Anolis sagrei: one gene and its partner. The protein of the gene in region 2 purifies or fractionates together with the protein of the main gene of each other region. This does not show direct contact. Links are inferred from orthologs where the notes say so. Each region holds a gene or a part of one and is shown on either strand. Other genes may lie near its edges.

Region 1 (9,932 bases), on a different chromosome or scaffold from region 2:
GTTAAATACAACAGAGAGAACCATGGCATTTAGTCTGTCTGGATAAAATTTCATGTTATTCAGAAGAAACAGAAGCACTTTTGTTTTAAGATACTATCTCCCAATTTGAAGGATATGAAACCGCAGATAATAGTGAATCCTATATTGTGACTAAGCTTGGGTCAAAAATATATCATAGAATCACACTGGAGGACCTAAAGGTCCACAAACACTTTATGATGAGGGACAGTTTTTTGAGCATAAGGAAAACCATGGATATAAAATTCGTGGATATGGGTATCATACTGTCTTACCTAACTTAAAATTCCATTTTGTAACAGATTCTTGCCACAGTCGAAACCAGCCACACAAGTTTGCATTCACTATTAAAATCATAACAAGAAGTCACATCGCAATTGAATCAAGGTAATAATAAATGACAATTTGAAGCATAAAGAGAATATTCCTGCTACAAATTGTTGTTTAAAATCCAAAGCTGTAAAATTCAATGATTTTACGCTGCATTAATTTTTAATACAATATTCAATTGGCTTTCTCATTTTTTTCCCTTTTCTTCTGCCAGACAGCTTTTGATTATTTTGCAAGCAAGAGTGCTTTTAGAGAAATGCTCCACAGACAACTATGGTTTCTTTTTAAAATATTTTTTAGTCCAATGTAAAAATATTTTATTAGTTTTGTTTTTTTTAAAGGAAATTCAAGTGTTATGGGGAATTATTCCATACGGGAAGATGGGTTTGCTTCAGACATTCTTATGTTAATTGTATGCCCTTGGATTACCTGCCTGTCTGTCCTACTTGAATAAACCATGTCACCTTATTTTAAAACTCAGTAAAATGCTCTTATTTGGTTACCAATTGACCTGTAGAAATCCTCTGTAGAATGCTTCGTGAAAGAACCATCTTCTAGAACTCCAGGGGACAAAAGAAACATGATGTCATGTAATTTGGCTATGCTGTTTCTGGGTTTCAGAAACTAAATTGCTGGTGTGCAAAGAGGAACTCTGAGACAAATTCAGATGAGGACCACAGCAGTGGGGAAGGAAGAAAAAAGCCATTTACCCCTGCAGTAGCCTCAATTAGAGTTGGGGGAAAGGATGTATAGTTACCATTAGTGCCAATAAGATCTTTCCTTCTATTAGAAACAGCAATGTTCAATGTTCTATGTTTTATGTTTTGTCTCTGTCCTATGTTTTGTGGTTTATTGGTTTTAATCTATTGTTATATGCTACTTTACTTATGTGATGTATTTTTTATGTGAGTCATTGAATTTTGCCAATTGCTTTGCCGTGAACCGCTTTGAGGGTGTGAGAAGTGGTATATAAATGAAATAAATAAATAAATAATTCTGATTATGCCTAAAAGAAAGGCAGCAGGTTAAAGAAGAGGTGGACGAAGTTCAGGCCATGAGGCACATGTGGCCTCCAATACCATTTTTAATATCCCAGATAGCTCCTGAAAGTTATAAATGGCCATTGGTGATATTGTTATGTATTGAGCACTAACCACAGTTGCTTAGTTCGTCATTTGAACATAGAAAATGTTTTCCTTTCTGTTTTTGATTAAATTTGAGCAAATTTCATCATATCAACTTTTAAATAAAAATATAGACAACTACTGATTTATGATATGCATGGTCACTATACATTTGCATTTGATCTCAATAGGAAACCTTTTTACAAGGTACATGTTCTTTCAAAGGATGATTAATAGAAAACAAGTTTTATGTTTTATGTGCATGCATATGAAGTACCTAAAGTAAGTGTAGACAAAGTAATTGTATGTAATCAGTATACATTTGCATTTACACATTTGCTGCTTCTGATTTCTTTCTGGTGAACAGTTACACTACAGATGATGCCTCACAAGAGAAAAGAAAAACAAAAAATACTGTAGGCAAAGAAAGCAACTGCCTTAATTTTATTTTAATTATGAACCAGAAGACCATGTTTCAAGCATGCCATGGAAATATACTGAGGGAATGCAAAATGGAAAAAATAAGCGTCCCATGGGAATTCATGAAGAACTGTACATTAATGAAATAATACAGACCTTCAAAATATTTAGTAATAAATATGTCATAAAGATTCTTGTATTCAAATTCACTTGCTGATGCTGTCACATACAAGTTCTTAAAGCCGCTTTGAATCTCCCAGTGGAGAGAAAAAAACAGAATGTTAATAAACATCATCATAATAACAACTCATAACCATTAGGAAAAAGCTGGAGACATAAATATTGTCCATTTATTATGAAGTTCCCTAGAATTGCATGAGTACATACACACTGTTCATAACTTGAGCACAAATGTACACATCTTGGCAATGTCTCTTTCTTACCAATGTAGGCAGCTGCCACTGGGTGTTGTTTTTCCACATGGGAAATAATGTTTGTATTTGGATTTATAAAATGAATTGCCTGAAAAATAGACAAATATACTACAAAGATTTATAGATGCAGTTAGTTTCATCAATAATTGGTTAGAAATTGATAATTCATGCATCACATAATACCAGTTCCACATAATTCCAGAGTTTCTAGATGTCTCACATGTAGTACAGTGGCTCACCATTTCCGTATAGCAGTGGATTGCAACTGAACTTTTGAAATGAATAACATTTCTTCTTCAGTCAAGTGTAAATGACAGATACCACCACAGAACAAGGAAGTAAACAGATTAAAGAAATAAATTAAAAATCCAATAGTCTTGTTTTTGACTAAGCAATTATCTGGACAGCTGGCCCCAGTTAGGACCCAAAAATCTTGTCATTAAGCATTTTACTATTGTTATATCCAAATATTTAATGATAAATCGTTCTTATCCTATCGTTGCTATATGATATATGCACTTTATTCACTAGTTCTATCCTCTATTGTTGTTGCACTAGTCCGCCCACCCATGACGAGACACTGAATTAAGTTACTATTATTTTATTATTTGTGCAGTAGAACATTCTCGATAATCCATTTCTTATGTTCAGGATAATATGGGTATAAGAAAGTCCCTTCAGTGTTATAAAAGTTATACTATGGGCTCAATTTTTGTTGAGCTAAATGTTTGCTAGTGTGTATAATATATCTCTTATAGACAACATATCTGAAATGGCAGAATACTATGCTGGAGAGCTAATGACCCGGACATGTTTGTTGTCTTTTGTATATAAAAATTGACTCACTATTTGGAAAAGTGATTGTTTGAGAGCTTTCTAGAATGCAGGTATTTTGTATGAAATGGGTGTATGGTCTCGATCCTTGCAGAACTTTTGAGGCTTGTTCCATCCCTCTTCGTTAGTTTTGTGTGGCTGGATAATTTGGTGCACATGGTTTCTGGTCAGTGGATATTTATTTAATTGCTGTACATATCCTTTTTTCCCCAGCAGGAGGCAGAAAATGACTAAAAATGTTTAACAAAAACATAGCTAACATTTCAATGTTAAATTGTTGCTCTCATATACACCCATCATATCCTGTGGCATGTAACTATCTCATAAATGGCCATTCTAGCTTTTCCGTAACCCCCAACTTCTGTTTCACTTTTAGCTACAAAAAGGTCAACAATACAATATAAAAACATCATACAATAATAACAAGTTAAAAATACATATAGATTAGATTTACTGATAATTCAAATCGCCAGGATAAAATCATGTCCAATTCAGTCCATGTGTGTGATCGAGAACTCTGTTCTGTAGCCGGTCTCAACCATTACTCTGGGAATGCTTCCTTCCATAGCCAGGATTTCACCAGCCTCCTGAAGGACAGGAGGGAGGGGGCAGATCTGATCTCAATCGGGAGAGAGTTCCATAGCTGAGGGGCCACTACAGAAAAGGCCCTGTCTCTCGTCCCCACCAGACGCGATTGCGAAAATGGCGGGATCGAGAGCAGGGCCCCACCTGAAGATCTCAACTGTCTTGATGGTTCATAGGGGAGAATAAGTTCGGACAGGTAAACTGGGCCGGAACCGTATAGGGTTTTGTAGGTTAAGACCAGCACTTTGAATTGTGCTCGGAAGCTAATTGGCAGCCAGTGGAGTTGTGCGCTCCCTGTACTCCGCTCCCATTAGTAATCTGGCTGCCGAACGTTGGACGTCTCATCAATAGAATCAGCATTCAATCTAGTTGTCCATTAATCCATATTCCAATAATCAATCAATTGTACCGCTTAGTTGAAAGCCTGTTCGAAGAGCCAGGTCTTCACTCTCTTCCTGAATTCCAATAAGGAGGCGGCCGATCTAATGTCTGTAGGAAGGGCGTTCCACAGCCGGGGGGCCACTACTGAGAAGGCCCTGTCTCTCGTCCCCGCCAGGCGTGCTTGTGAAATCGGCGGGACCGAGAGCAGGGCCTCCCCAGACGATCTTAACATCCTAACTGGTTCATAGGAGGAGATGCATTCGGACAGATAGGTCGGGCCAGAACCGTTTAGGGCTTTAAAGGCTAAAGCCAGCACTTTGAATTGTGCCCGGTAGCAAATTGGCAGCCAGTGGAGCTGGCGCAACAGAGGAGTAGTATGCTCCCTGAGTGCCACTCCTGTTAGCATCCTGGCTGCCGCTCGTTGGACCAATTGAAGCTTCTGAGCAGTCTTCAGAGGCAACCCCACGTAGAGAGCGTTGCAGTAGTCTATACGGGATGTAACCAAAGCGTGGACTACCGTGGCCAAGTCAGACTTCCCAAGGTACGGGCATAGCTGGCGCACAAGCTTTAATTGTGCAAAAGCTTTCCTGGACACTGCCGAGACCTGGGGTTCCAGGCTCAGCGATGAGTCCAGGATCACTCCCAAGCTGCGCCTTCAGGGGGAGTGTAACCCCGTCAAGCACAGGCTGTAACCCTATGCCCTGTTCAGCCTTACGGCTAACCAGGAGTACCTCTGTCTTGTCTGGATTTAGTTTCAATTTGTTCACCTTCATCCAGTCTGTTACAGCGGCCAAGCACCGGTTCAGGACTTGAACAGCCTCCTTAGTAGCAGGTGAGAAGGAGTGACAGAGTTGAACATCATCTGCGTACAGGTATATGCTATATACTTTCATGTGCCTGAAAATAAATCTATCTGATGTAAAGTACCAATCTTTTCTGTACTTGCAATTCACAAAGCATCCCATATAAGACTGTATTTATATTCTACCCTTATTTATATTCTGCCTTATCTATATGGATAGACCAATTAAGACAGGCATGGGGCAAACTTGGGCCTTCCCTCCAGGTGTTTTGGACTTCAACTCCCACAATTCCTAACAGCCTACCGGCTGTTAGGAATTGTGGGAGTTGAAGTCCAAAACACCTGGAGGGAAGGCCCAAGTTTGCCCCATACCTGATATATATAACAACAGAGAATGTGCGGCCTATATATATGCCCTGAAGCCTGAAAGCCTATAGACCCTTAAAATGGCCCAAAAAAGAAAGAAAATCACATGTATGTCCAATGTTCTTGGTCCTCCTTGAATTCTCTAAGCACTTTCAGTCCAAGAACCAATGAAAACTTCTGCTTTGAGGGTTTACTCCAGCACCCAACTAACTCACCACTCCGAAGCGAATCTGAAAAGTTCTGCTTGAGTCTCGCGAGAGCTGCCTCCGGGAGGGATGTAACGTCTCGCGAGAGCACGCAAGGCAGCCACTAAAGTCCATGCAAATCTCGCGAGGCTGACGTTCACCGGCGGAGACCGGAAGAGAAGGGGAAGCGTGGCAGCCGCGTGAGCTTCCTAGGCAGAGAGCAGCTTCTCCGCTTCGGCTACGTAAGAATCTCACACTTACTTGGGATTTCAAGCCTTCCTTGCAAAATGGGGCAGCTCCAACAATACGCTGCATAGGTTCTTGTGGGCTTTCTCGGGCTATATGGCCATGTTCTAGAGGCATTTCTCCTGACGTTCCGCCTGCATCTATGGCAAGCATCCTCAGAGGTAGTGAGGTCTGTTGGAAATAGGACAATGGGTTTATATATCTGTGGAATGCCTGGGGTGGGGCAAGGAGCTCTTCCCTGCTGGAGCTAGGTGTGAATGTTTCAGCTGATCACCTTCATTAGCATTTGAAGGCCTGGCTGAGCCTGGGAAAATACCCTGTTGAGAGGTGTTAATCTGTGCCTGGCTGTTTCCTCTCTGTTGTTTTGCTGTTGTAATTTTAGAGTTTTTTAATACTGGCAGCCAGATTTTGTTCATTTTCATGGTCTCTTCCTTTCTGTTGAAATTGCCCACATGCTTGTGGGCTCTCCAGGCCAATGGATACTCCACCTCAGACATCAGAAGAGCTGCAAGACCAAGAACAAGCCACGAGAGTCAAGATGAAGATCCACCCAGAAGAAAAGTGTTCCTGCCATACATCAAGAGAACCACTGACCGCATAGGGAAGCTGATGAGGAAACACAACATACAAACAATCTACAAACCCACCAAGAAAATCCAACAAATGCTACGTTCAGCAAAGGACAAGAGGGATCCTCTCACCTCTGCAGGAGTCTACTGTATACCATGCAGCTGTGGACAAGTCTACATAGGGACCACCAAACGCAGCGCCCAGACACGCATCAAGGAACATGAAAGGCACTGCAGACTACTTCAACCAGAGAAGTCAGCCATAGCAGAGCACCTGATGAACCAGCCTGGACACAGCATATTATTTGAGAACACAGAAATGCTAGACCACACCAACAACCACCATGTCAGACTACACAGAGAAGCCATTGAAATCCACAAGCATGTGGACAATTTCAACAGAAAGGAAGAAACCATGAAAATGAACAAAATCTGGCTACCAGTATTAAAAAACTCTAAAATTACAACAGCAAAACAGCAGAGAGGAAACAACCAGGCACATCTTAACACCTCTCAACAGGGTATTTTCCCAGGCTCAGCCAAGCCTTCAAATGCTAATGAAGGTGATCAGCTGAAACATTCACACCTAGCTCCAGCAGGGAAGAGCTCCTTGCCCCACCCCAGCCATTCCACAGATATATAAACCCATTGTCCTAATTCCAACAGACCTCACTACCTCTGAGGATGCTTGTCATAGATGCAGGCGAAACGTCAGGAGAAATGCCTCTAGAACATGGCCATATAGCCCGAGAAAGCCCACAATAACCTAGTTTGATACCGCTTTAATGGCTCGGGTCTATTGGATTCAGGGAGTTGTCGTTTTGTGAGGCATTTAGACTTTGTGGGACTACAAATTCTAGTATTCCATAGCATTGGGCCAAAGCTGGTGTCAAACTGCAATATCTCTGCAAACAAAATACACAATAAAGATACAAATGCATAATAAAGTAAATAATTAATACAAACAATGTATCGTAACTAAATATGATTGTTGTTGTTCATTCGTTCAGTCGCCTCCGACTCTTCGTGACCTCATGGACCAGCCCACGCCAGAGCTCCCTGTCGGCCGTCACCACCCCCAGCTCCTTCAAGGTCAGTCCAGTCACTTCAAGGATGCCATCCATCCATCTTGCCCTTGATCAGCCCCTCTTCCTTTTGCCTTCCACTTTCCCCAGCATAATTGTCTTCTCTAGGCTTTGCTGTCTCCTCATGATGTGGCCAAAGTACTTCAACTTTGTCTCTAGTATCCTTCCCTCCAGTGAGCAGTCGGGCTTTATTTCCTGGAGGATGGACTGGTTGGATCTTCTCGCAGTCCAAGGCACTCTCAGCACTTTCCTCCAACACCACAGTTCAAAAGCATCTATCTTCCTTTGCTCGGCCTTCCCTAAGGTCCAACTCTCACATCCGTAGGTTACTACAGGGAATACCATGGCTTTGAGTAGGCGGATCTTTGTTGCCAGTCTGATGTCTCTACTCTTTACTATTTTATCGAGACTGGACATTGCTCTCCTCCCAAGAAGTAAGCGTCTTCTGATTTCCTGGCCACAGTCTGCATCTGCAGTAATCTTTGCACCTAGAAATACAAATACAAATTAAAACATGCTGCAGAACTAGAGCAGCCTAACACCACTTTTAACTGCAGTGCAGATGCACCCTCTTGTGAGAGAGCTCTGATGCTACAGCAGACTACAAGTCCCAGAACTCTCTAGCAGGTAAACGTAGTGTTAGGCTGCTCCACTTCTGCAGCATTCTTTATTGATTGCTATCATGTTTAGTTATGATACCTTGTTTGTATTAATTATTTAATTTACAGTGCATTTGTGTCTTTATTGTGTGTTTTGTTGTAAGCCGCTCTGAGCTTACTTCTTGGGAGGAGAGCAATGACCAATCTCAATAAAATAGTGAAGAGTAGAGACATCGAAGATCAACATAGTTAAAGCAAAGGAAATCAGGAGACGCTTACTTCTTGGGAGGAGAGCAATATACAATGACCAATCTCAATAAAATAGTGAAGAGTAGAGACATCACACTGGCAACAAAGATTCGCATAGTTAAAGCAATGGTATTCCCCATGGTCACCAACGGATGTGAGAGCTGGACCATAAGGAAGGCTGAGCGAAGGAAGATAGATGCTTTTGAACTGTGGTGTTGGAGGAAAGTTCTGAGAGTGCCTTGGACCACAAGAAGATCCAACCAGTCCATACTTCAGGAAATAAAGCCCGACTGCTCATTGAAGGGAAGGATACTAGAGGCAAAGATGAAGTACTTTGGCCACATCATGAAGAGACAGGAAAGCTTAGAGAAGACAATTATGCTGGAGAAAATGGAAGGAAAAGGAAGAGGGGCCGAGCAAGGGCAAGATGGATGGTATCCTTGAAGTGACTGGCTTGACTATGAAGGAGCTGGGGGTGGCTACAGCCGACAGGGAGCTCTGGTGTAGGCTGGTCCATGAAGTCACGAAGAGTCAGAAGCGACTGAATGAATAAACAACAACAGCCATCCCCAGCTCCTTCATGGTCAAGCCAGTCACTTCAGGGATACCATCCATCCATTCATCTTGCCCTTGCTCGGCCTCTCTTCCTTTTTCCTTCCATTTTCCCCAGCATCATTCTCTTCTCCAAGCTTTCCTGTCTTCTCATTATGTGGCCAAAGTACTTAATCTTTGTTGTTGTTTATTCGACAAAGGAAGAGGGGCCGACCAAGGGCAAGGTGGATGGGTGGTATCCCTGAAGTGACTGGCTTGACCTTGAAGGAGCTGGGAGTGGTGACGGCTGACAGGGAGCTCTGGCGTGGGCTGGTCCGTGAGGTCACGAAGAGTCGGAAGCGACTCAACGAATAAACAACAAAGCTCCGAGTCACAAAGGGAGATGGGACGGGATATAAATAAAGGTGACTTGACTTGACATGTTTTCACGCTGCACCTCTCGAAATACCTTATGGTTGATCTCAGCCCCTGAAGCATTTCAATCTTTGAATAATGCACAACTTTGCTCTCTTTTTCATACCTGGCTGTCTTGTGGTTTTATTTCTTCCTGCATTATCTACATGCCAAAAGGGTTTCCTCCAGCATTGAATTTTTTTCCTCCTTTTTAGCTTGGAAGTTGCATGTGGAACGAGAATGGAATACATGAAAGAACCTGCTACTGTCAGCCAGGGAAATATGTAAGTAACAGTTTCCATGAGCCCCAACCAGAATGCATTGAAATTGAGTTTTCAGTGATAGAATAGACTTTGTATTTATGCATGCAAATGTACAAAATTCTTCGTCTTCTTAGAAATGAGAAAGTTCATGGTAGGTAGTGGTCATTATTCACCCTGAGGAGCATTAAGTTGCTGAAAACATATCCTCAATTGACTCGGCAGAGATCTAAAGATTGGAATTTCAAGTTAAGCTCCAGAATGTCAAAACTATTAATGATAGCATTGTGTGTGTAAACAAACATTGTGTATGGACTGGATGGCCCTTGTTTCTCTTCAAACACTTATCATTCCATTGAATAGGCTGAGATTTTGTTCAACACCAACAAAGCACCAAGAAATCTCACCCTATTTACACTGAAATCCATTGTACAAGTAGCTTGGCCTAACTTTGTGTTCAGTGGGTGAAAATAGCCATCCTTTCCTACTTTCTATTGAAA
Region 2 (10,234 bases):
GAACCTGTTAGCATCTCACTAACTATGTACTTGAAAACTAGAAGCCTCTGGGATTACCGGCCATGGAACACAGGAATTCTGCCAAGGCACAGCCTCAGTCCCAAACGTTGCTTGATCTAACGAGACACCCGGAAGGAGGCCCCTTAAGCCAAAGAAACTATTCCTTGAAACGCCCCTTGACTTTGAAGCCTGGGCCTGTCTCTTCTGTAATCTATTTGACCTTCGTAGAAACTGTGAATCACTCCTGTTTCTAGCTATCTGTTCCCTTCGGTCCTCATTAAAAAAAACCCAGGTGTGATTTCCCCTGGAGAGCTTTCACGGCTGGATTCCAAAACATTTTCATCAGGCTGTTCAGTTTCACTTTCCTCGCCACTGACCTCAGCATCAACAACAGTTTCAACACTATCAGGGAGAGATACATGTTCAGTGGCTTGCTCAGTTGGAAATACAATCAGAGAATCAGGTTCACACAGAGATTGGGGCTCAGGTTCACATAGAGCAGGCTGAACCTCAACAGGTATGCTCGATTCCGGCCACAGGGAGAGCTGCTGCTTCACCGTCCACTTAAATCAACGACTTAAATCAAGACATAGTTTTCTTAGATCTACAGAGACACTTGCTGGAACACCTCAGCAAGCGAGAGTTCAAAACTGGCAGGCTCAAACCCAGCACCTCAATCCGTGGGTGATACCAAATAAGAGACTCCCCACTGGGCACACAGAAGACTGGGCGACTTGGAAGGGGCTGAACAGACTGAGCTCTGGCACCACGAGATGCAGAGCCAATCTTAAGAAATGGGGCTACATGCGAGTGTGGAGAAGAGCAAACCACTGACCACCTGCTGCAATGCACCCTGAGCCCTGCTACATGCACAATGGAGGACCTTCTTGTGGCAACACCAGAGGCACTCCAAGTGGCCAGATACTGTTCAAAGGACATTTAATCAGCTACCAAGTTTGCAAAATTTGTGTTTTGTTTTTTTATCTGTTTGTTTGTTTTGTTCTGTTAGAAATGTAATACAATGTTCTGGTTGCGGATGACATGATAAATAAATAAAACCGTCCACTTGTGACACCGAATCCTTGTACTTCTTCATTCTTGCGTACACTGCTGGAAGGTTTTATGGTGTCATAAATTAGTTAAATTAGCATCCCCGCATAAAGCAATACCTACATTTCCTACCGAATCCTTGTACTTCTTCATTCTTGCGTACACTGCTGGAAGGTTTTATGGTGTCATAAATTAGTTAAATTAGCATCCCCGCATAAAGCAATACCTACATTTCCTACAACTGTCATTCAGGCTGCATAGGTCGACAGCAAGCTAGACTATCAATGGTTGGGAGCTCACTCTGATCCAGGCTGGCTTCGAACACATGACTTCTCAGTCAGTAGTGATTTAATGCAGCTGGCTACTAATTAGCTGCGCCACAACCCAGTCTAGATAATAATACAATATACATAAAATATATTATATTATTAGCATATCATAATATTATATATTATATATTACTATATTGTACTTTTAATATGAAATATAAAATTATTCTATTGTATTATTATTAGTATTATATTATATTATATTACATTATATTTTCAATATTATATGTGTTTACACTATATTATTAGCACAGAAGAATATTAGTATTAATATGATTATGCCAATGCACAAAAATTATAGATCTATTTTATAATCTATATTTATATATAATTTAATATAATAATATATATTATTAGATAATAATATTTATATTTATATATAACTTAATATAATAATATATATATTATTATATATTATATTATTATATAATAATATACGCAATAATAATAAAATAAAAATAATTTATAATTCATAAGTTCCTTCCTTTTCCTTCCTTTTTCTTTCCTTCCCCTCTTTTTTCCTGCCAATGACGTCATTGAAAGTTGCCAGCCAATCAGAGCACAGGCACGAGGACCGCCACTTCGCCCGCGAGATTATGCTATTTGAGGCAAGCGCTACAGAAGGGGCGGGACTACATGGAAGACAGACAGCGGGGGCGAGCCAATCAAGCGGGGCCCTTCCAACTCCCTCGCTTTGCCACCCCCTCCCTTGTCTTTCTCTTAGAAATAAAGGGGAGGAGCCAACAATCCCCGCGCGCTGGGTAGAGAGGGGGGAAAAAAGCAAAACGGACAGGCCGTTCAGCCAATGATAGATCTGTATTAGAAAGGGGCGGGTTTTACAATCCTGGCGCGCTCAGTGGAGAAGGGAGTGACAGCATACAGTTAATGAAGAGGCGGGAAAAAGAGTAAGACGGGCAGGTCAGCCAGCCAATGATAAACCGGTATTAAAAATGGGCGGGGTTTACAACCTCGGCGCGCTCGGCGGAGAGGAGGGTTTAATAGAGAGGCGGGAAAAGACGGGCAGGCCAGTCAGCCAATAATAGACCTGTAGAAAAAAGAGGGGCGGGGTTTACAATCTTCGCGATCAATGGAGAGGGGTGTGAAAGCAACCAAGACGGGCAGGCCGATCAACCAATAGAAAAAAAGAGGGGCGGGGTTAACAATTTGAGCGCGCTCGGTGGAGAAGGGCGTCAAAGCATACAATTAATAGGGAGGCGGGTCAAAGAGCAAGATGGACCGGCCAGCCAGCCAATGATAGACAGCTAGAAAAAAGGGGCGGGGTTTACAATCTAGGCGCGCTCGGTGGAGAAGGGCGCGAAAGCATAGAATGAATAGAGAGGCGGGTAAAAAAGGAAGACGGGCAGGGCGGCCAGCCAATGATAGACCGCTAGAAAAAAAGGGGCGTGGTTAATAATTAGCGCGCTCGTTGGAGAGGCGGGTAAAAGAGCAAGACGGGCAGGCCGGCCAGCCAATGATAGAACGCTAGAAAAAAGAGAGGCGGGGTTAACAATGTTAGGGATTAATAGAGAGGGGAGGGAATGCATCCAAGACGGACAGGCAAGCCAGCCAATGATAGACCGCTAGAGAAAGAGAGGCGGGGTTAACAATGTTAGGGATTAATACAGAGGGGAGTGAAAGCATCCCAGACAGGCAAACCCGCTAGAGAAAGAGAGGCAGGGTAAACAATGTTAGATAGTAATAGAGAGGGGAGTGAAAGATAGAACAAGCCCTATGAGGAGCGGCTTAAGGAGCTGGGCATCTTTAGCCTGAAGAAGAGAAGGCTGAGAGGAGATATGATAGCCATGTATGAATATGTGAGAGGAAGCCACAGGGAGGAAGGAGCAAGCTTGTTTTCTGCTTCCTTGGAGACTAGGACGCAATGGAACAATGCCTTCAAACTACAAGAAAGGAGATTCCATCTGAGCATGAGGAAGAACTCTCTGACTGTGAGAACTGTTCAGCAGTGGAACTCTCTGCCCCGGAGTGTGGTGGAGGCTCCTTCTTTGGAAGCTCTTAAACAGAGGCTGGATGGCCATCTGTCGGGGGTTTATTTTTTATTTCTCGTGTCAGGGCAGCCAGTCAATTATATTACATTTCTAACAGAACAAAGCAAACAAACAGAGAAAATACAAAATGTGTGAGTTTGGTAGTTGATTAAATGTCCTTTGACCAGTATCTGGCCACTTGGAGTGCCTCTGGTGTTGCTGCAAGAAGGTCCTCCATTGAGCATGTGGCTGGGCTCAGGTTGCACTGCAGCAGGTGGTCAGTGGTTTGCTCCTCTCCACACTCGCATGTCGTGGACTCCACTTTGTGGCCCCATTTCTGAAGGTTGGCTCTGCATCTCGTGGTGCCAGAGCGCAGTCTGTTCAGCACCTTCCAAGTCGCCCGGTCCTCTGTGTGCCCAGGGAGGAGTTTCTCATTTGGTATCAGCCATTGGTTGAGATTCTGGGTTTGAGCCTGCCACTTTTGGACTCTCGCTTGCTGAGGTGTTCCAGCGAGTGTCTCTGTAGATCTTAGAAAACTATGTCTGGATTTAAGCCGTTGGCGTGCTGGCTGATACCCAAACAGGGGATGAGCTGGAGATGTCTCGGGGTTAACAATGTTAGGGATTAATAGAGAGGGGAGTGACAGATCCAAGACGGGCAGGCCGGCCAGCCAATGATAGACCGCTAGAGAAAGAGAGGCGGGGTTAACAATGTTAGATATTACTAGAGAGGGGAGGGAAAGCATCCAAGACGGGCAGGCCAGCCAGCCAATGAGAGACTGCTAAAGAAAGAGAGGCGGGGTTAACAATGTTAGGGATTAATAGAGAGGGGAGTGAAAGATCTAAGACGGGCAGGCCAGCCAGCCAATGATAGAACACTAGAAAGAGAGAGGCGGGGTTAACAATGTTAGGGATTAATAGAGAGGGAAAGCATCCAAGACGAGCAGGGGCGGGGTTAACAATGTTAGGGATTAATAGAGAGGGGAGTGACAGATCCAAGACGGGCAGGCAGGCCAACCAATGATAGAACGTTAGAAAGAGAGAGGCGGGGTTTACAATGTTGGGGATTAATACAGAGGGGAGGGAAAGTATCCAAGACGGGCGTGAAAGGGATAAGACAGGCAAGCCAGCCAGCCAATGATAGAACACTAGAAAGAGAGAGGCGGGGTTAACAATGTTAAGGATGAATACAGAGGGGAGGGAAAGCATCCAAGACAGGCAAGCCAGCCAGCCAATGATAGAACACTAGGAAGAGAGAGGCGGGGTTAACAATGTTAAGGATGAATACAGAGGGGAGGGAAAGCATCAAAGACAGGCAAGCCAGCCAGCCAATGATAGAACGTTAGAAAGAGAGAGGCGGGGTTAACTATGTTAGGGATTAATACAGAGGGGAGTGAAAGATATAAGACGGGCAGACCAGCCAGCCAATGCTAGAACGTTAGAAAGAGAGAGGCGGGGTTAACTATGGTGGGGATTAATATAGAGGGGAGGGAAAGCATCAAAGACGAGCAGGGAGAGGGGAGTGACAGATCTAAGACGGGCAGGCCGGCCAGCCAATGATAGAACACTAGAAAGAGAGAGGCGGGGCTAACAATGTTGGGGAGTAATAGAGAGGGGAGTGAAAGATCCAAGACGGGCAGGCCAGCCACCCAATGCTAGAACGTTAGAAAGAGAGAGGCGGGGTTAACAATGTTAGGCATTAGTAGAGAGGGGAGGGAAACCATCCAAGACGGGCAGGCCAGCCAGCCAATGATAGAACGCTAGAAAGAGAGAGGCGGGGTTAACAATGTTAGGGATTAATATAGAGGGGAGAGGGGAGAGAGGAGGGAAAGCATCCAAGACGAGCAGGGAGAGGGGAGTGACAGATCTAAGACGGGCAGGCCTTCCAGCCAATAATAGAACGTTAGAAAGAGAGAGGCGGGGTTAACTATGTTGGGGATTAGTAGAGAGGGGAGGGAAAGATCCAAGACGGGCAGACCAGCCAGCCAATGATAGAACGTTAGAAAGAGAGAGGCGGGGTTAACAATGCTGGGGATTAATATAGAGGGGAAGGAACGCATCCAAGACGGGCAGACCAGCCAGCCAATGAGAAGACGCTATCGGAGGCGGGCGGGAGGGAGTGAGGGAAGGAAGACGGGCGTGCGGGCCGTCCAATGGCGAGCGGCGTCTGTGCCTGGCCCTCCCCTTGTCCCGTCATCGGCGCGGGCAGCCAATGGGGCGGCGGGGCGGTTTCCGGGGGGGCGGGGCCGGCCTGCCTCGCTCGCTCCGCCGAGGCGCCATGGGCTGAAAACTAAACCGAGATGGAATCTCCCAGTCTGAACCGGTTTGAGCCGGTTCCGAGTCTGTGGCAGTAGAAGAGGAGGAGGGGGAGGGCTGAGGGGAAAAGAGCGGAAGGCGAAGCACGAAGCCACGGGGGAAGAAGAAGGAGAAGGAGGAAAAGAGAAGGAGGGAGAGAGTGGATGAGAGGAGGGAGTGAGTGAGGAGAAGAAGGAGGCGTGTGTGTGTGTGAGAGAGAGAAGCAAGATTGGCAGGAGGAGGAAGAGGGAGAGGAGAAGGGGGGTTCACCACAACAACAAGGCCAGGTGTGTGTGTTGTGTGTTGTTTACCACAACAACAACAAGGCCAGGTGTGTGTTGTGTTTGTATCTATCTCCCTGTGAGGGGAACAGCAGGCGCCATGGAGGAGGACTGAGGGGAGGAAGGTGTGTATGTGTGTCTGTGTGTGAGAGAGAGGGGTGTGTTGGTGGAAAGAGTTTGTGCTGGTTGGGGGTGGGATTCCTATTTTACACTCTTGTTCTTCCTCCTCTTCTTCTCCCCTCTGAAAGGGGGAAAATACACACACACACTCACACACAAAAAGAGGAAAAAATTGAGGTGAGCAGATCTCTTTCTGGGAGTTGTGTGTTGTTTCTTTTTCTGGGGCGGGTTTTTCTCCCTCTTTTCCTCACAAACCTCAACCTCCTCCTCCTCGTTGAGGGGAGTACTGGGGTGTGTTTGCACAGGCCTCTCTGAGGAAGAGGTTGGGCTTCAGGGGTCAGCGTGGCTTCTGCTTTCTGGAGGGAAACAGATATCTATTGGAAAGAAAGAGAGAGGCAGAAAAGTCAGCTTTCTGGAGAAATATCTATCCTTCAGTGTGTTTTTGCAAAGAGCTTTTTGAAAATATAGATATCAGAGAGGCAGAAAAGTCAGCTTTCTAGAGAAATATCTATACTTCAGTGTGTTTTTGCAAAAGGTTTTCTGAAAATATAAGTATATTAGAGAGAGAAGCAGAAAAGTCAGCTTTCTGGAGAAATATATATCATTCAGTGTGTTTTTGCAAAGAGCTTTCTGAAAATATAAGCATCTATTAGAGAGAGAAGCAGAAAAGTCAGCTTTCTGGAGAAATATATATTCTTCAGTGTGTTTTTGCAAAAGACTTTCTGAAAATATGAGTATCTATTAGAGAGAAGGAGAAAAGTCAGCTTTCTGGAGAACTATCTATCCTTCAGTGTGTTTTTGCAAAGAGTTTTCTGAAAATATAAGTATCTTATTAGAGAGAGAAGGAGAAAAGTCAGCTTTCTGAAGAAATATATATCTAAATATCTATCTATAGATATCCTTCAGTGTGTTTTTGCAAAAAGCTTTCTGAAAATAGAAGTATCTATTAGAGAGAGAAGCAGAAAAGTCAGCTTTCTGAAGAAATATATATATATATATATATATATATATATATCCTTCAGTGTGTTTTTGCAAAGAGTTTTCTGAAAATATAAGTATCTGTTAGGCAGAAAAGTCAGCTTTCTGGAGAAATACATACCCTTCTGTGTGTTTTTGCAAAAGTCTTTCTGAAAATATAACTATAAGAGTAGCAGAAAAATCAGCTTTCTGAAAATATATCTATATATCCTTCAGTGTGTTTTTTGCAGAGCTTTCTAAAGATATATATATATATATATATATCATATAGATAGATCCTTCAGTGTGTATGTGTTTGCTATAGGCCCCAAGCCTTTCCCCAAGCATTTCAACCATAGAGTTGTTGGCAAGGAAGTCAGCTCTCTGAAGAAATATAGATCTATATATCCTTCAGTGTGTTTTTGCTAAAGACCCATTTTCCCCCCAAAGCTGACTTTCAACTTTCAGCATTGCTTTGAGATACTAGTAAGGTTGTTGGCAGATTTCTGAAGAATATAGCTATCTATAGATCTATCCTTCAGTGTGTTTTTGCAAAGAGTTTTCTGAAGAAATAGATATTAGAGAGGCAGGGAAGTCAGCTTTCTGAAGTAATACCTATATATCTATGTGTATGTATGTATATGTAGATTGATATCCTTCAGTGTGTATGTTTGCTAAAGGCCCCAGACCTTTCCCCAAGGTTGGCTTTCAACTTCCAGTATTTTAACCATAGAGTTGTTGGCAGGGAAGTCAGCTTCCTGAAGAAATATCTATCTATATATCCTCCAGTGTGCATTTTTGCTGTAGGCCCCAAACCTTTCCCCAAGGTTGGCTTTCAACTTCATTGCTTTGGAAAGAAAGGCTAGTAGGGTTGTTGGCAGGGAAGTCAGCTTTCTGAAGAAATATATATCTGTATAGCTCTATATATCTGTATTCTTCAGTGTGTGTGTTTGCAAAAGGCCCCAAACATTTCCCCAGGGTTGGCTTTCAACTTCCAGCATTGCTTTGGAAAGAGAGGCTAAGATATTGTGGATTGATTTTTTAAAATATAGTTATATATACACATAGATTGGGGTGTGTGAGAGAGAAGGAAAAAAGAGGTGTAGCAGGAACATCCTTTCTGCACTTTTTTTCATAAAGAGCGGGAGAGTGAAAACGGGTGGAGACTTTGCTTTTTCCTCCCTTTGAGATCTAACTCTACATAGGCCTCAAACACACCCCAATTTTTCTGCCTGTGTTTTATTTGGGGAAAATAAGGGTGTTACATCTGTTTGAATGAATGGCAAAGGCCTGGCCCAAGTTGTAGGTGTGTTTGCAACTTTGCTAGGAAAGTGACTTGACTTCCATGTGCATTTTTTCTCTCCAGTTTGTGTGAGTCGCCCTATTATTATTTTACTCCATCTTTTTTCTCTTCTTTTTTTTTTTGGTAGGTTTGGCTCGTTGTTTGTTTGAGAGAAACAGAGAAGTGTGTATGTGACAATTTAATTATTTTTTGAATGAAAAAAAGGAACCAGACTTCTGGGCCTCACGTGAAATCAGAAGGAGACACCTCTCTTTTGTGTCGGGTGTGAGGTTGTGTGTTGGGAAGCTGAGGCTTTGGGAAGGAAAGCTGGGCAGGCCTTTCTTTTTAAGACACACACAGAGAGAAAGAGAGACACTCCTCGTGCTTTGCTTGGATTCCCACCCACCTATCTACCCATCTTTCTCTTTTGTTTTGTTTTTTGTATTGTGACTCCTCTGCTCCCTCTCTAGAAGAAGTAGCTGTGATACTCAATTAGGTAAGTCAAGACTTTTTTTTTGTTTCACCTATTGGGAAGGAAACATGTGCAAAAGGGATGGGGAAGGAAAAGTTGGGGAGTGGGTGACCAAAAAGGGAGAAAGAAACCCACTGAAAGGTTTTGGAGATAGTTGGAACCCTGCTGGGAAGTTATAGTTTGGTATAATAAATAAATATGGTAAATAGAGAAGTATAGGATGGGATGGGATGGGGAAGGAAAAGTAGGAGAGTGGGTGACCAAAAAGGGAGAAGGAAACCCACTGAAAGGTTTTGGAGACGGTAGGAAGCCTCCAGGGAAGTTATAGTATGGTAAATAAATATGGTATGTATGTATATATAGAGTGTGTGTGTGTGTGTATGAGATGGGGAAGGAAAAGTTGGGGAGTGGGTGACCAAAAAGGGAGAAAGAAACCCACAGAAAGGTTTTGGAGACAGTGGGAGGCCTGCAGGGAAGTTATAGTATGGTAAATAAATATGGTATGTATATATATATATAGAGAGAGAGAGTATGGGATGGGGAAGGAAAGGTTGTGGAGTGGGTAACCAAAAAGGGAGAAAGAAATCCACTGAAAGGTTTTGGAGACAGTGGGAGGCCTCCTGGGAAGTTATAGTACAGTATGGTAAATAAATATGGCATGTATATATATGTATAGAGAAAGTGTAAGGTATGAGGAAGGAAAAGTTGGAGAGTGGGTAACCAAAAAGGGAGAAAGAAACCCACAGAAAGGTTTTGGAGACAGTGGGAGGCCTGCAGGGAAGTTATAGTATGGTATGGTAAATAAATACTTACAGTATGGATTGGGGAAGGAAAAGTTGGGGAGTGGGTGACTGAAAAGTGGGGGGGGGGGACCCACTGGAAGGTTTTAAAGACAGTGGGAAGCCTTCTGGGATGTTATAGTATGGTATAGTAAATAAATATGGGAAATAAATAAAGATGAGATGGGGAAGGACGACAGGTTGAGGAGTGGATGACCAAAAAGGGAGAAAGAAACCCATTTAAAGGTTTTGGAGACTGAGAAGCTTGCTGGGAAGTTAAAATATGGTATAGTAAATAAATATGATAAATAAAAATGTTATAGAGAGAGAGAGAATGGGATGGGATGGGGAAGGAAAAGTTGAGGAGTAGGTGATCAAAAAGGGAGAAAGAAACCCACTCAAAGGTTTTGGAGACAGTGGGAAGCCTGCTGGGAAGTTATAGTACGGTATAGTAAATAAATATGGGAAATAAAAATGTTATATGTAGAGAGAGATAGAGAATGGGATGGGCAAGGAAAAGTTGAGGAGTGGGTGATCAAAAATGGAGAAAGAAACCCACTGAAAGGTTTTGGAGACCATGGGAAGCCTGCTGGGAAGTTATAGTATGGTATAGTAAATAAATATGCTAAATAAATATAGTATAGTATGGAAAATGTATTGAGTGGAGCAATGGATTTAAATGTGC

The links.
Region 1: the proteins of XPO1 (region 2) and NMD3 purify together in Homo sapiens (affinity purification with western blotting; 3 studies listed by BioGRID and IntAct, with this or other methods). This does not show direct contact. The link is inferred for Anolis sagrei from reciprocal best matches to the Homo sapiens genes XPO1 and NMD3.

Annotation. Positions count from the first base shown.
Region 1 is NC_090023.1:247,184,088-247,194,019, reverse strand, and holds the start of NMD3 (60S ribosomal export protein NMD3), read left to right. Parts: upstream 1-5,624; 5' UTR 5,625-5,721; intron 5,722-9,387; 5' UTR 9,388-9,412; coding exon 9,413-9,456; intron 9,457-9,932. UniProt on the Homo sapiens protein: Acts as an adapter for the XPO1/CRM1-mediated export of the 60S ribosomal subunit.
Region 2 is NC_090021.1:12,218,497-12,228,730, forward strand, and holds the start of XPO1 (exportin-1), read left to right. Parts: upstream 1-5,593; 5' UTR 5,594-6,236; intron 6,237-8,446; exon of another isoform or gene 8,447-8,794; intron 8,795-10,234. UniProt on the Homo sapiens protein: Mediates the nuclear export of cellular proteins (cargos) bearing a leucine-rich nuclear export signal (NES) and of RNAs.